2 linked regions of the Anolis sagrei genome follow. The main gene of each other region encodes a partner of the protein of the gene in region 2 in a complex. Links are inferred from orthologs where the notes say so. Each region holds a gene or a part of one and is shown on either strand. Other genes may lie near its edges.

Region 1 (7,143 bases), on a different chromosome or scaffold from region 2:
AGAGAGGAAATTAAGCCAATCTTCATGTGTGTTTGTGTGTGTGTGTGTGTGTGTGTGTGGGATGGGGGGGGGGCGGGGGACTCCTGGGACAAGAACATTGGAGGAGCACTAGCATAAAATTATGTGGCTATTCTTCGAAAGCGCGACGGCAGACAAACTTTAATTGTTTGTCACAATTAAAGTTGGCACACAAACTTTAATTGTGCAAAGGCCCTCCTAGCCTCTGCAGATACCTGCTTCCAGGTTCAGCACTGAGTACAGTAGGGTCCTCAAACTGCGGACCTATTTCTTCAGGGGGAGTGTAACCCCATGCAGCACAGGTTGGATCCCTATTCCTGGTCTGCCTTCCAACTGACCAGGAGTACCTCTGTCTTGTCTAGATTAAGTTTCAATTTGTTTGTCCTCATCCAGTCCATTACTAATAACAGGCACTGGTTTAGGGTCAGGACAGCTTCCTTCCCTTTAGGTGGAAAGGAGTAGTAGAGTTGGGTGTCATAGGCATACAGCTGGTACCATACTCCAAAAGTCCTGATTACTTCTCCCATTAACTTCATGTATATGTTGAATAGCATGAGGAACAACCCTGAGCCTGAGAAACCCCAAAGGTCAACGGCCAGGAGTCCACCAGCACCACTTTCTGGGTATGGCCCTCCAGGAAGGACGGAGCCACTGTAAAACAGTGCCTCCAATTCCCATACTAGCAAGACGAACCAGAAGGATACTATGGTCAATGGTATCAAAAGCCAATGAGATCTCCAGTAGGGATTTCCCCCCCCCCCAAAAGGTGCCAAATCTATCTGAACAAATTGCACAGGAACCAAAAAGAATGTGTTGAGGATGGGCTTTCTTTTGCTATAAAATGCAATTTTCCAAGCCGGTACTGAAGTGTTTTGGTACATTTTGATAATTTTGATATTGGCTGCTGATACGTGACACCTGTATGAGGGAAAGGAAGGGAGGAAGAAGTGAGAGAGAAGGGGTCAAAATTGGGGGAAAGGTACCTGTGAATTCATAATTTTGTTATTATCCCTCAATTTTAGTAACATCTTTATTATTTTAATGTGAATGTTTTAGTATTTAAACATTTAACACCATTTTAATTACCTTATTTAATATTGGGTTTTAAACTCTGTTTTAACATTGTTTCCTGATATCCGGATGTGTGTGTAACCTGATGCTTGTATACTTCTGTACTTGTGCTTGTACATGTGTGCGTACTCTGACACTTACACACCCTGTCACTTGTACTTTTTTTATGCTGGTCATTGACCGTAATAAATGTTTATATATTTTTTTAAAAATGTGAATGTTGATTTTATTTTTTGTGAGACTTGGGTCGTTTTGGTTATTTACTTCTTTGTCCAGCACCTTGCAGCATTTAATGTTTGCCTGTGATGGTTGCGGGACCGCGAGCAGGGCCTCCCCATTAGATCATCACCTCCGCTATGGTTCATTGGGGGAGATGCGTTCGGACAGGTGCTATGCTGTCGCACGCTGGGCCTGTGCATAAGACAGTAGACAGGACATAAATTCTGTGTGCCCAATAGGACGCCGGGGCTGCCTCAGATTAAAGGCCTTTGGATTTCCTTAAACAGAGTCTCTAGAGTACTTAAAGGTTCAACAAAGTTCTTTATTTATGAAAACAAACAGGTATTTCAAGGCTTTCTTAACAGTCTATAGCAGGGGTCCTCAAACTAAGGCCCGGGGGCTGGATGCGGCCCTCCAAGGTCATTTACCCGGCCCTCACTCAGGGTCAATCTAAGTCTGAAACTACTTGAAAGCACATAACAATCCTATCTCATCAGCCAAAAGCAGGCCCACATTTCCCATTGAAATACTAATAAGTTTATATTTGTTAACATTGTTCCTCATTTTAATTATTGTATTGATTTTAAGTGTTTTTTGCACTGCACATATCTTACTATACATATCTGCACATATCTTACTAAAATAAGATATGTGCAGCGTGCATAGGAATTCATTCATGTTTTTTTTTTCCAAATTGTAATCCAGCCCTCCAACAGTTTGAGGGACTGTGACCTGGCCCTCTGTTTAAAAAGTTTGTGGACCCCTAGTCTATAGGCTCTTTCAATCTTGTCCACAGGGAACAGGCACTATCTTCATGACTGGTATTTTAACTAATGGGGAAATCCTTAACTTCTAATCTGGGCAATCTGTCTTTACCTCTGTTGGCATGGAGCCCCTACACCTGGTACCAACTGCGTCTGGCTTCTGTGAGTGACCCTTACCAAGCAGAGCTTTGTAGACTTCCAGGGAAAAAAGAGTTCAGGTTTCGGTGATGGCTGGCTGAAGTCCCCCAGCAAAGGAGCTGTAAGGCTGTATGATCCTCGGCCAAGCTGTGGGCTGTATAACCCCAGCCAAGCTGTAGAAGACGAAGCTTTCTACAGGAGCTCTTGGTATTATTATTATTATTAAAGGTAAAGGTAGTCCCCTGACATTAAGTCCAGTCATGTCTGACTCTGGGGTGTGGTGCTCATCTCCATTTCTAAGCCGAAGAGTCAGCGTTGTCCGTAGACACCTCCAAGGTCATGTGGCCGGCATGACTGCATGGAGCGCCGTTACCTTCCCGCCGGAGCGGTACCTATTGATCTACTCACATTTGCATGTTTTCGAACTGCTAGGTTGGCAGAAGCTAGGGCTGACAGCGGAAGCTCACGCCGCTCCCCGGAATCGAACCTGTGACCTTTCGATCAACAAGCTCAGCAGCTCAGTGCTTTAACCCACTGCGCCACGGGGGGCTCCATTATTATTATTATTATTAAACTTTATTTGTACTCTGCTAGCATCTCCCGAAGGACTCGATGCGGCTTACAAAGGCCAAGGCCTCAAACAACAACAGACAATAACAATATAAGACAAGCAAATTAAAAACATAAGCAATAAGAACAACAACATTACACTATGGTATTATGTCCAGCATATGTCCTGAACTCAAACTGGCTCCTATTCCCTCCAAAACCTAAAAAGGGGGCGGGACCAGGGAACCTAACTATAATTGACAGGTGGCTTGCCCTATGATTGCAAACTGTAATAGGAATGCTGCAAAATCCTAAGCCTGGGATTGCAAACAAACATTGAATGCAAAGCAAACAACATTGGAGCTCCTGGTACAGCTGTACCTGCACAGGTGCTGTTATCAAGTTGGTTTGTGGTGGAAAGAGGCTTCAGGGTCCGAGTGCAGCAGTGGAGGTGGAGCAACATGGGGGGTGGAAAAGGAGACAAAAAGGGGGGAATGGTACTGAGGAGACAGAAGGAAAGAAAAGAAAGAGAAAGGAAGATGAGGGGGAAAGGTGTGGGAGGGAAAGCAGGGAAGAAAAGGAGGGGGAAATAGAGGAAAGCACCGCAGACCACACTAACATGGGCGGTTTCCCCCTGCCTGCCCCTGAGAGGCCTCCTCCTCACCTGGGAGTAGCTGCACCTCTCGTGGTCGCTGCCTCCCAGCACGGCGCGCGCCTCCTGCTCGAGCTGCTCGCTCTCGGCCAGCACCTCGGCCAGCGACACCACGGGCTCCTCGCCGCTCCGCTCTTCTCCCTCCTCGGCAGCGGCGGCGCTCTCCTTGGGCCTGTCGTCCCCTTCCTCGCCTTTGCCGGAGTTCGAAGCCGCAGCTGCCGGCGCCTCCTTCTCCATCTTGCTGACAGAAACAATACTAAGACAAGCAGGAAGAGAAGGGGGGAAAAAAAGGCGGGAAAACGCCCCAACCACCGGAAGCGGAAACGAAAGTTGCCGCGACGCTCACGGATCTCAAGAGGGGAGAGACCAAAAAAAAGGAAAAGGGATGTGTCACGTGTCACGCGGGAGCCAATCAAAGCTAGAGGACGGAGGAAAGCTGAGCACTTGGGTGCGGAATCACGTGAGCCGCGAAGGGCCAATCAGGGCCGGGCAGATCTGCGAGAGCCAATCAGAGCCTCTAAAGACGGCGAAATGTTAACTATGCAGACTGTGATGTTGAGATCATAAGAGGGAAAGAAAAGGGAGCAGAATCACGTGAGACCACTGAGCCAATCGGAATCAATCAGAGCTAGAAGGAGGCGAGGCTGGAGAAAACAACGCACAACAGCTAGGGAAGAGACTGGGCGGGGCTCTGACGTCACGCTGGTGGGTGTGGCCAAAGGAGGACGACTTGGGTTTCCTCTCTCCGAGAAAGTTCTGCTTCCGGTTCAAAGCGGTGAGGAGATTGGTTGCCTAGCCACGTCGGGAAGGGCGAGATGGAGCTGCGGGCGGAGCTGACAGGCCGCGGAGGGGAGAAGCGACCGCTGCGGGTCTCTTGCGAGCCTCCGGGGGAGCTGCGGGGCCTCCTCGGGGGCTTGGCACGCCTTCGGGAGCAAGTCAGCGCCCTCCTCGGCCCACTGGTCGAGCAGGAGAGCCGCGCCGGCGGAGAGCCGGGCGCGGGTGCAGGTGAGGGCCCCGCAGGCCTTGGCAGAGGGCCCGCCTATGTGCAGGGAGCATCTACACCAGGCATGGTCAAACCTCGGCCCTCCAGGGGTTTTGGACTCCAACTCCCACAATTCCTATCAGCCTCGGGCCCCTTCCTTTTCCCCCTCAGCCGCTTAAGCGGCTTGACCATATATGCCATCTTTCTTCTTATCTTCTATCTGTTGTTGTTCATTCGTTCAGTCGTCTCCGACTCTTCGTGACCACATGGACCAGTGCACGCCAGAGCTCCCTGTCGGCCGTCACCACCCCCAGCTCCTTCAAAGTCAGTCCAGTCACTTCAAGGATGCCATCCATCCATCTTGCCCTTGGTCGGCCCCTCTTCCTTTTGCCTTCCACTTTCCCCAGCATAATTGTCTTCTCTAGGCTTTGCTGTCTCCTCATGATGTGGCCAAAGTACTTCAACTTTGTCTCTAGTATCTTTCCCTCCAGTGAGCAGTCGGCCTTTATTTCCTGGAGGATGCACTGGTTGGATCTTCTCGCAGTCCAAGGCACTCTCAGCACTTTCCTCCAACACCACAGCTCAAAAGCATCGATCTTCCTTCGCTCAGCCTTCCCTAAGGTCCAGCTCTCACATCCGTAGGTTACTACAGGGAATACCATGGCTTTGACTAGGCGGATCTTTGTTGCCAGTGTGATGTCTCTACTCTTTACTATTTTATCGAGACTGGACATTGCTCTCCTCCCAAGAAGTAAGCGTCTTCTGATTTCCTGGCCACAGTCTGCATCTGCAGTAATCTTTGCAACTAGAAATACAAAGTCTGTCACGGCCTCCACAATTTCTTCCTCTATTTTCCAGTTGTCAATCATTCTTGTTGCCATAATCTTGGTTTTTTTGATGTTTAGCTGCAACCCAGCTTTTGCGCTTTCTTCTTTCACCTTGATTAGAAGGCTCCTCAGCTCCTCCTCGCTTTTGGCCATCAGAGTGGTGTCATCTGCATATCTGAGGTTGTTAATGTTTCTTCCAGCAATTTTCACCCCAGCTTTGCATTCATCAAGCCCCGCACATCGCATGATGTGTTCTGCATACAAGTTAAAAAGGTTGGGTGAGAGTATGCATCCTTGCCGTACGCCTTTCCCAATCTTGAACCAGTCTGTTGTTCCGTGGTCAGTTCTTACTGTTGCTACTTGGTCCTTGTACAGATTCCTCAGGAGAGAGACAAGGTGACTTGGTATGCCCATCCCACCAAGAACTTGCCACAATTTATTATGATCCACACAGTCAAAGGCTTTAGAATAGTCAATGAAGCAGAAGTAGATGTTTTATAGATCTATCTATCTATATAAATAAAAATGTAATGTTCGTTTGTGGGATCAACATAACTCAAAAAACACTGGAGGAATTGACACCAAATTGGGACACAAGACACCTAACAGTCTAACGAGTATCCATCTCTCATAAATCCCCCCCCCCCAAAACAGTGGAAAGGACTTTAAAACCCCAAAAATGCTAAATGATGAAAAACTAAATGACAATACAGAAAAAGGGAAGGAAGGGGAGAAAGAAAATAAGAAAGAAAGAGGGAGGGAAAGAAAGAAGGAAGGAGAAGGAAAAGAAAAGGTGGGGAGAAAGAAAGGAGAGAAGGAAAGAAAATAAGGGAAGGAAGGAGGGAAAGGGAAAGAAAGAGGGAGAGAAGGAAAGACAGAAGGAAGAAAAGAGGTAGAGAAGGAAGAAAGGAGAAGAAAAAAGGGAAAGAAAAGGGGAGGGGAAGGAAGGAAAGAGGGAGAGAAGGAAGGAGAGAAAGAAAGAAAAAAGGGAAGGAAGGAAAGAGCGAGGGAAGGAGAGAAAGAAAGAAGAGAAAGTGGCGGGTACAGCTAGTATATAAATAAAAATGTAATGTTTGTTTGTGGGATTAACATAACTCAAAAACCACTGGACAAATTGCCCAAGGAGTGACCATCACTCAAAAAAATTAATTTTGTCATTTGGGAGTTGTAGTTGCTGGGATTTATAGTTCACTTACAATCAAAGAGCATTCCGAACTCCACCAACAATGGAATTGAACTTGGCACACAGAACTCCTATGACTGACAGAAAATACTGGAAGGGTTTGATGGGCATTGACCTTGAGTTTGGAAGTTGCAGTTCACTTACATCCAGAGAGCGCTGTGGACTCAAACAATGGTGGATCTGGACCAAACTTGGCACAAGCACTCAATATGCCCAATTATGAACACAGATGGAGTTTGGGGGGAATAGACCTTGGCATTTGGGAGTTGTAGTTACTGGGATGTATAGTTCAGTTACAATCAAAGAGCATTCTGAACCCCAGCAACTAGAGAATTGGGCCAAACTTCCCAGACAGAACCCCCATGGCCATTGAGTCCAACTCCCTTCACCAGGGCAAGAAAACGTAATCAAAGCCCTCCTGACAAAGAGCCATCCAGCCATAGATATAGATAGATATATATGAGTAACACACACAAGTATAGTATCATAGATTTGAAAGGGACCTCTAAAGAAGAACAATTATATGTTGCGTGTTCCAGAGTAGGCAAACCAGACAATCTCCATATGAACACTGACAAAGAAACAAAAAATACTGTTTACCCACAAGCATAAAGAAATTACATATATTAGAAACCAACACCTTCTCATTACTTTATTTTCCAGATCACGAGACTGGGCCACAGCAACGCGTGGCAGGGGTTAGCTAGTCTATATAAATAAAAATGTAATGTTTGTTTGTG
Region 2 (7,369 bases):
TCTTCCAGCAGTAATCAGCCGATCCCTCTGCAATGCCAGAAATACAGCTTAATGGTGTAACATTAGAAAATGTTGACCATTTCCGCTACCTTGGCAGCCACAAAAGTCAACGTTGACAATGAAATACAACATCGCCTGAGCTCTGCGAGTGCAGAATTTTTCCGAATGAAGCAGAGAGTGTTTGAAGACCGGGACATCCGTAGGGATAGAATCGTAGAATCATAGAGTTGGAAGAGACCTCATGGGCCATCCAGTCCAACCCTCTGCCAAGAAGCAGGAATATTGCATTCCAAGCACCCCTGACAGATGGTCATCCAGCCTCTGTTTAAAAGCTTCCAAAGAAGGAGCCTCCACCACACTCCGGGGCAGAGAGTTCCACTGCTGCACAGCTTCCACAGTCAGGAAGTTCTTCCTCATGTTCAGATGGAATCTCCTTTCTTGTAGTTAGAATACAAGGTGCTTGTTTATAAAGCTATTGTCCTCCCAACACTATTCTATGCCTACAAAAGGTGGACTATCTACAGATGTCACATGCAACTCCTGGAACGATTCCATCGGCGTTGCCTCCAAAAGAAATCCTGCAAATCTCTTGGGAAGACAAGCAGACAAATGTCAGCGTGCTGGAAAAAGCAAAGATCACCAGCATTGAAGTGATGGTCCTCCGCCATCAACTCAGCTGGACCAGCCACATTGTCTGACCACCGTTTTCCAAAGCAGTTGCTCTACTCCGAACTCAAGAATGGAAAATGGAATGTTGGTGGGCAGGAAAAGAGATTTAACGATGGGCTCAAAGCCAACCTTAAAAACTCTGGCATATATACGGAGAACTGGGAAGCCCTGGCCCTTGAGCGCTCCAGTTGGAGGTCAGTTGTGAGCAGCAGTGCTGTAGAATTTGAAGAGGCACGAATGGAGAGCAAAAGAAACGTGCCAAGAGGAAGGCGCATCAAGCCAATCCCAACTGGGACCGCCTTCCACTTGGAAACCAATACCCTCACTGCAGGAGAAGATGCAGATCAAGAATAGAGCTCCACAGCCACCTATGGACCCATCGCCAGGACACCGAACTTGGAAGACAATTTTACTTGGATGAGGGATCGCCTAAGTAAGTAAGTATCAACACACTAATCTCAGTACCAACAACTGAAAAAAACTATTTATATATACAAATGAGAAAGCACTCACAATTCTAAGACATAGTCCATTTTAAAAATATTTATATGGAGGGGAAAGTGTGTCCATCTCTACTGTCATATAATGCAGTCTGAAAGTGCATTATATGGGCAGTGTTGTAGACTTATAATTCCATATAATGCAGCCAACGGGCATTATATGACAGTGGCGATGGGGCTCTAGAACTGTAGAAACACAACAATTTGCTGTGTTTACTGGTTCATTTCGAGCATTTGTACCCCATCCTTAAGTGTTATCAAACTTGATTAATCTTCCAGCACCAACTGCTGCTCTAGGCCAGAGTGAAGAGAGAAGGTGCCAGAGGACAGTTCCATCTTATCTCTTACTTATGTGTCATCAGTATTTATTAATTTGTTGTTGCTGTTCATTCGTTCAGTCGTCTCCGACTCTTCGTGACCTCATGGACCAGCCCACGCCAGAGCTCCCTGTCGGCCGTCACCACCCCCAGCTCCTTCAAGGTCAGTCCAGTCACTTCAAGGATGCCATCCATCCATCTTGCCCATTTATTAATTTACAGTATTTATATTCAGCCCTTCTCACCCTGCAGAGGACTCGGGGCGGATTACAATGTACATATACATGGCAAACATTCAATCCCATAGACACAAAACATATATAGACAGACAGTAGAGGACCCCTCCCCCAGCACCAACTGCTGCTCTGGGCCAGAGTGAAAAGAGAGGGGGCCAGAGGACAGTTCTATCTTGTCTCCTGTGCTATGCTAATAATATAATGTAATGTAAAATAATATAGTGTACATACATATAATATTTATAATATGATAATGTAATGCAATAAGCTGTCAGCCCCAGCTTCTGCCAACCTAGCAGTTCAAAAACATGGAAATATGAGTAGATCAATAGGTACCGCTCAGGCAGGATGGTAACAGCGCTCCATACAGTCATGCCGGCCACATGACCTTGGAGGTGTCTACGGACAACGCCGGCTCTTTGGCTTAGAAATGGAGATGAGCAACACTCCCCAGAGTCAGACACAACTAGACTTAATGTCAGGGGAAAACCTTTACCTTTACTTTACTATGTCCATTGGGGCTTTCTTTTGAGCAAGTATATTTAGGGTGACGGCCTGAAATGTAAACTCCTGCTGTTAGGCCCAGCTTCTGTCAACCTAGCAGTTTGAAAACATGCAAATATGAGTAGATCAATAGGGAAGGCAATGGAGCTTCATGCAGTCGTGCTGGCCATGAGATCTTGGAGGTGTCTACAGACAACGCCGGCTCTTTGGCTTAGAAATGGAGATGCGCACCAACCCCCAGAGTCGGACACAACTGGACTTCATGTCAGGGGAAAATCTTTACCTTTAATGCAATATAATAATATGATAGTATAATTATATATGTATATTACATGTAATATTACTAATAAGATTACAGTATAATGGTATAGTACAATATAGTAGTATTTAATACTGATATTAGATGAAGGGTTAGAAGGCATGATCATCAAGTTTGCAGAGGACACCAAATTGGGAGGGATAGCCAATACTCCAGAGGACAGGAGCAGGATTCAAAACGATCTTGACAGATTAGAGATGGGCCAAAACTAACAAAATGAAGTTCAACAGTGACAAATGCAAGATACTCCACTTTGGCAGGAAAAATGAAATGCAAAGATACAGAATGGGGGACGCCTGGCTCGAGAGCAGTATGAGTGAAAAAGATCTAGGAGTCCTCGTGGACAACAAGTTAAACATGAGCCAACAATGTGATGTGGCGGCAAAAAAAGCCAATGGGATTTTGGCCTGCATCAATAGGAGCATAGTGTCTAGATCTAAGGAAGTCATGCTACCCCTCTGTTCTGTTTTGGTTAGACCACATCTGGAATATTGTGTCCAATTCTGGGCACCACAATTCAAGAGAGATATTGACAAGCTGGAAGGTGTCCAGAGGAGAGCGACTAAAATGATAAAAGGTCTGGAGAACAAGCCCTATGAGGAGCGGCTTAAGGAGCTGGGCATGTTTAGCCTGAAGAAGAGAAGGCTGAGAGGGGATATGATAGCCATGTATAAATATGTGAGAGGAAGCCACAGGGAGGAGGGAGCAAGCTTGTTTTTTGCTTCCTTGGAGACTAGGACGCGGAGCAATGGCTTCAAACTACAAGAGAGGAGATTCCATCTGAACATGAGGAAGAACTTCCTGGCTGTGAGAGCCGTTCAGCAGTGGAACTCTCTGCCCCGGAGTGTGGTGGAGGCTCCTTCTTTGGAAGCTTTTAAACAGGGGCTGGATGGCCATCTGTCAGGGGTGATTTGAATGCAATAGTCCTGTTTCTTGGCAGAATGGGGTTGGACTGAATGGCCCATGAGGTCTCTTCCAACTCTTTGATTCTATGATTGTACTATGTTAATAATATATTGGGGGTGAGAAGGGCGGCATAAAAATGCAAATAAATAAACAAATAAATAAATAATAGTGTAGAAGCACCCTCTGCAAAGATGGAAGTCCTTTTTTTTAGATCAAGGCAAAGCAAATTATTATTATTATTATTATTATTATTATTATTATTATATTGCACAGTAATTGATGCTTCTTCCTGGCTGCTACTCTTACCAGGCCAAGATCCCAAAAGCGCCCCTTGGAGACAATCCGCAGACAATTACTCCTTTTGGTAGAATGGAGAAAGCCAGGAGCACGTGGAGTCACTTGGTATCACGTGACAAGGGTTTCTGGGCTGTCCCGATGACGTCAGGGGGCGGGGTTAGCCGCCCAAGCCAATCGGAAAAGAGTCCAGAAGCGAAGGGGTTAAACACAACGCGGAAGAGAATGTGAGAAGCCCCGCCTTATCATGTGGAGAGGGACCAGTGGGCGGGGCTTGGCGCGCGATGACGTCACTATATTCTGTCCAGTCTGGGTTTTCTTTTTGCCCTAAGAGTAACAAGCTTTTATTGAAACTATACAACTAAGGTTCTCAATTGAACAATGAGGGGAAAAAAAGGAATACTGCAAATTAGAGAATCCAGAGATAGAAAGGGAAAATCCTCTATGTATGACATGCCCCTTTTCCTCATTAAAGTATTTCTTAATTGGGTTGCTGTGAGAATATTTCTTTATTCCTCTTCAGCCACTCATTCCCCGCATATGGCGGCTGTCGAATGCTAACCGGAAGTATTCATTGCAAGGTGTTGTTTCATTTTCCTATCTCTAGAAACATTTTCCTAAGAGGGAGAGGGAAGGAGTGAAGCAAATTTAACCCTTTCTCATCTGTCCTCCTCTGGGGCTTTCCACTTTCAAAGCAACTCTTCCTTTGGTTCAAAGTATATTATTTTCTTATTATAGATCCTAATATTCTCCAGTTGCCAAAACTGAGGTTTTGTTTACCTTTTTGAAGCAGAAAAATTGGAAAAAGCAAAAACAAAGGACAGGAAGGAGGATAAAATCTGCTGGAGGTAAGGAATAGAAAACAGGGGTGCACTGTAGGTTCTGGGTTGTTGCAAGTTTTTCAGGCTGTATGGCCATGTTCCAGAAGCATTCTCTCCTGAAGTTTTGCCTGCATCTATGGCAGGCATCCTCAGAAGTTGTGAGGTCTGTTGGAAACTATGCAAGTAAGTAAAATCACTCTCAACAAGGGATTCCCCCGGGCACTTCCAAGCCATTGAATGCTAATCGAGGTGATCAGATGAAACATTCACACCTAGCCCCAGCAGACAAAAGTCCTTTGTCTCACCTGGTCATTCCACAGATATATAAATCCATTTTTCCTACTTCCAACAGACCTCATTACCTCTGAGGATGCTTGCCATAGATGCAGGCGAAACGTCAGGAGAAAAATTGCCTCCAGAACATGGTCATATAGCTCGGAAAAACCTACAACAACCCTATGCAAGTAGGGTTTATATATCTGTGAAAGTCCAGGGTGGGAGAAAAAACTCTTGTCTGCTGGAGATAGGTGTGAATGTAACAATGGACCACCTTGATTAGCATTGAATGACCTAGCAGTTTCAAGATCTGGCTTCTTATTGCCTGGGGGAAATCCTTTGTTGAGAGGTGATTAGCTGGCCCTGATTGTTTCTTGTCCGGAGTTCCCCTGTTTTTGAGTGTTGTTCTTTATTTACTTTCTTTAACGTCAGGAGAGAATGCTCCTGGAACATAGCCATACAGCCCGGAAAACTCACAACAACCCCGTGATTCCGGACATGAAAGCCTTTGACAATACAGGGTTAGTCAAAATGAATAGGCCAATAAGAAAATTAATTGTACCTGAATGTATGTTTACTGTAACCAAACCACAGCTACGTAGCGACAGATAAACTATCAAAGTTTTTTTTGAGCAACACACATGTACGTTAATGCCGCTAGGCGTCGCTAGGAGTTGCTGTTTTCAAAATGGCGGAATCAGGCAAAGAGAAGGCTGCATTCGATGCCATTACGTCGGATGTGCTGCAACGGATGTGGAATGAACTGGACTATCGCTTGGACGTCTGCCGTGTCACACGGGGCGCCCATATCGAACATCTCTGAAGGTGAGACAAAACTTTGATAATTTATCTGTCGATACGTAGCTGTAGTTTGGTTACAATAAACATACATTAGTCTAAAATTAATTTTCTTATTGGCCTATTCATTTTGACTAACCCTGTATATTAAACAAAACTTGTTTTATAAAGAGTAACGTCAGAAGAGAATGCTTCTGGAACATGGCCATACAGCCCAAAAAACTTGCAACAACTCAGTGATTCCGGCCACGAAAGCCTTCAACAATACACCATAGGCTCTATTTCGGAGGAAAGAATGCGTCAAACCATTCCTTGCCTTGGGCACCATCTACACTGCCTGCTTAATTCAGTTCGAAGCTACATTCAAACTGCAATAGCCAGGCAACACACTCCCATGAAAGTATGCAAAAGAAAAGCCCCTTGATGTGCATCAATGCTGTGACGTTTGTGTAATCACCATCTGGACCTGCACAGACAAACCACTTTCTTCAATACCTGTTTGAAACCGAGTTAAATGGTTGGTGTAGATGGAACGTAAGAATCATAGATTTGGAAGAGACCTCAGGTATCCAGTCCAACCCCCTACCAAGAAGCAGGAAAATCGCATTTAAAGCACCCCCAACAGATGGCCATCCAGCCTCTGCGTAAAAGCCTCCCAAGAAGCCTCCACCATACTACGGTGCAGAGAGTTCCACTGCTGAATGGCTCTCAAAGTTAGGAAGTTCTTCCTAATGTTCAGGTGGGATCTCCTTTCCTCTAGTTTGAAAAACCCTATGAAATTACTGAGATCATGGGAAATTTAATATAGAACGAGTGATAGCTGCAGATTCCTTTTGTTCCATAGCTTAATAATAATATGTAATATTTCTGAATATTTATTCTACTTTCCCTTGACCCTTACTAGGCTAAATAGGCTAGCCTAAATAGGACCCAGTTTCCAAGATGGATAAGAACTCTTAATCCTTTCCCCATCACAGCACCAATTCCCTATGATGAAAAGTTAATATTGTATTGTTTCTCTGGCTTTCAAGGACACAATATGCCTGTGATTATTGGTTTCGAGGGCAGTGCCAATAAGATTGGCGTTGGGATTGTACGGGATGGAGAGGTGCTCAGCAACCCCCGAAGGACATACGTCACTCCTCCAGGGCAGGGTAAGTATCCTGTGTATGATGCTATGCCAGGTATACAAAGATGCATCACATTGTTGTATGACTTCAAGTCATTTCCAACTTATGGCAATCCTAAGGTGAACCTGTCACAGGGTTTTCTGGGGCAGAGAGTAAGTTATTTGCCCAAGGTCATTGAATTACTGTTCTTGGCTGAATCCTGGTCTCCAGAGTCATAATCCAACACTTAGAGCACTATACTATTATTCTGGACACCAAAATTGAAGGGAGATGGTGACAAGCTGGAATGTGTCTAGAGAAGGGTGACTAAAATGATCAAGGGTCTGGAGAACAAGCCCTGTGAGGAGTGGCTTAAAGAGCTGAGCATGTTTAGCCTGCAGGAGAGAAGGTGGAGAGGAAACATGAGGGCCATGTATAAATATGTGAGAGGAGTAGGCCTGTTTTCTTCTGCCCTGGACACTAGGACAATGGCTACAAACTACAAGAAAGGAGATTCCATCTGAACATTAGGAAGAACTTCCTAACTGTGCAAGCTCTTCAGCAGTGGAACTCTCTGCCCCTGAGTGTGGTGGAGGTTCCTTCTTTGGAGGCTTCTAAAA

The links. The genes of interacting proteins can lie anywhere in the genome.
Region 1: OSGEP (region 2) and GON7 share a complex: the UniProt entries of both Homo sapiens proteins name them as parts of the EKC/KEOPS complex. The link is inferred for Anolis sagrei from reciprocal best matches to the Homo sapiens genes OSGEP and GON7.

What each region holds. Positions count from the first base shown.
Region 1 is NC_090021.1:316,706,496-316,713,638, reverse strand, and holds the start of GON7 (EKC/KEOPS complex subunit GON7), read left to right. Parts: upstream 1-4,131; 5' UTR 4,132-4,226; coding exon 4,227-4,416; intron 4,417-7,143. Other genes in the region: putative E3 ubiquitin-protein ligase UBR7, read right to left, coding at 3,424-3,648. UniProt on the Homo sapiens protein: Component of the EKC/KEOPS complex that is required for the formation of a threonylcarbamoyl group on adenosine at position 37 (t(6)A37) in tRNAs that read codons beginning with adenine.
Region 2 is NC_090026.1:13,544,083-13,551,451, reverse strand, and holds the start of OSGEP (tRNA N6-adenosine threonylcarbamoyltransferase), read left to right. Parts: upstream 1-4,364; 5' UTR 4,365-4,593; intron 4,594-6,671; 5' UTR 6,672-6,679; coding exon 6,680-6,794; intron 6,795-7,369. UniProt on the Homo sapiens protein: Component of the EKC/KEOPS complex that is required for the formation of a threonylcarbamoyl group on adenosine at position 37 (t(6)A37) in tRNAs that read codons beginning with adenine.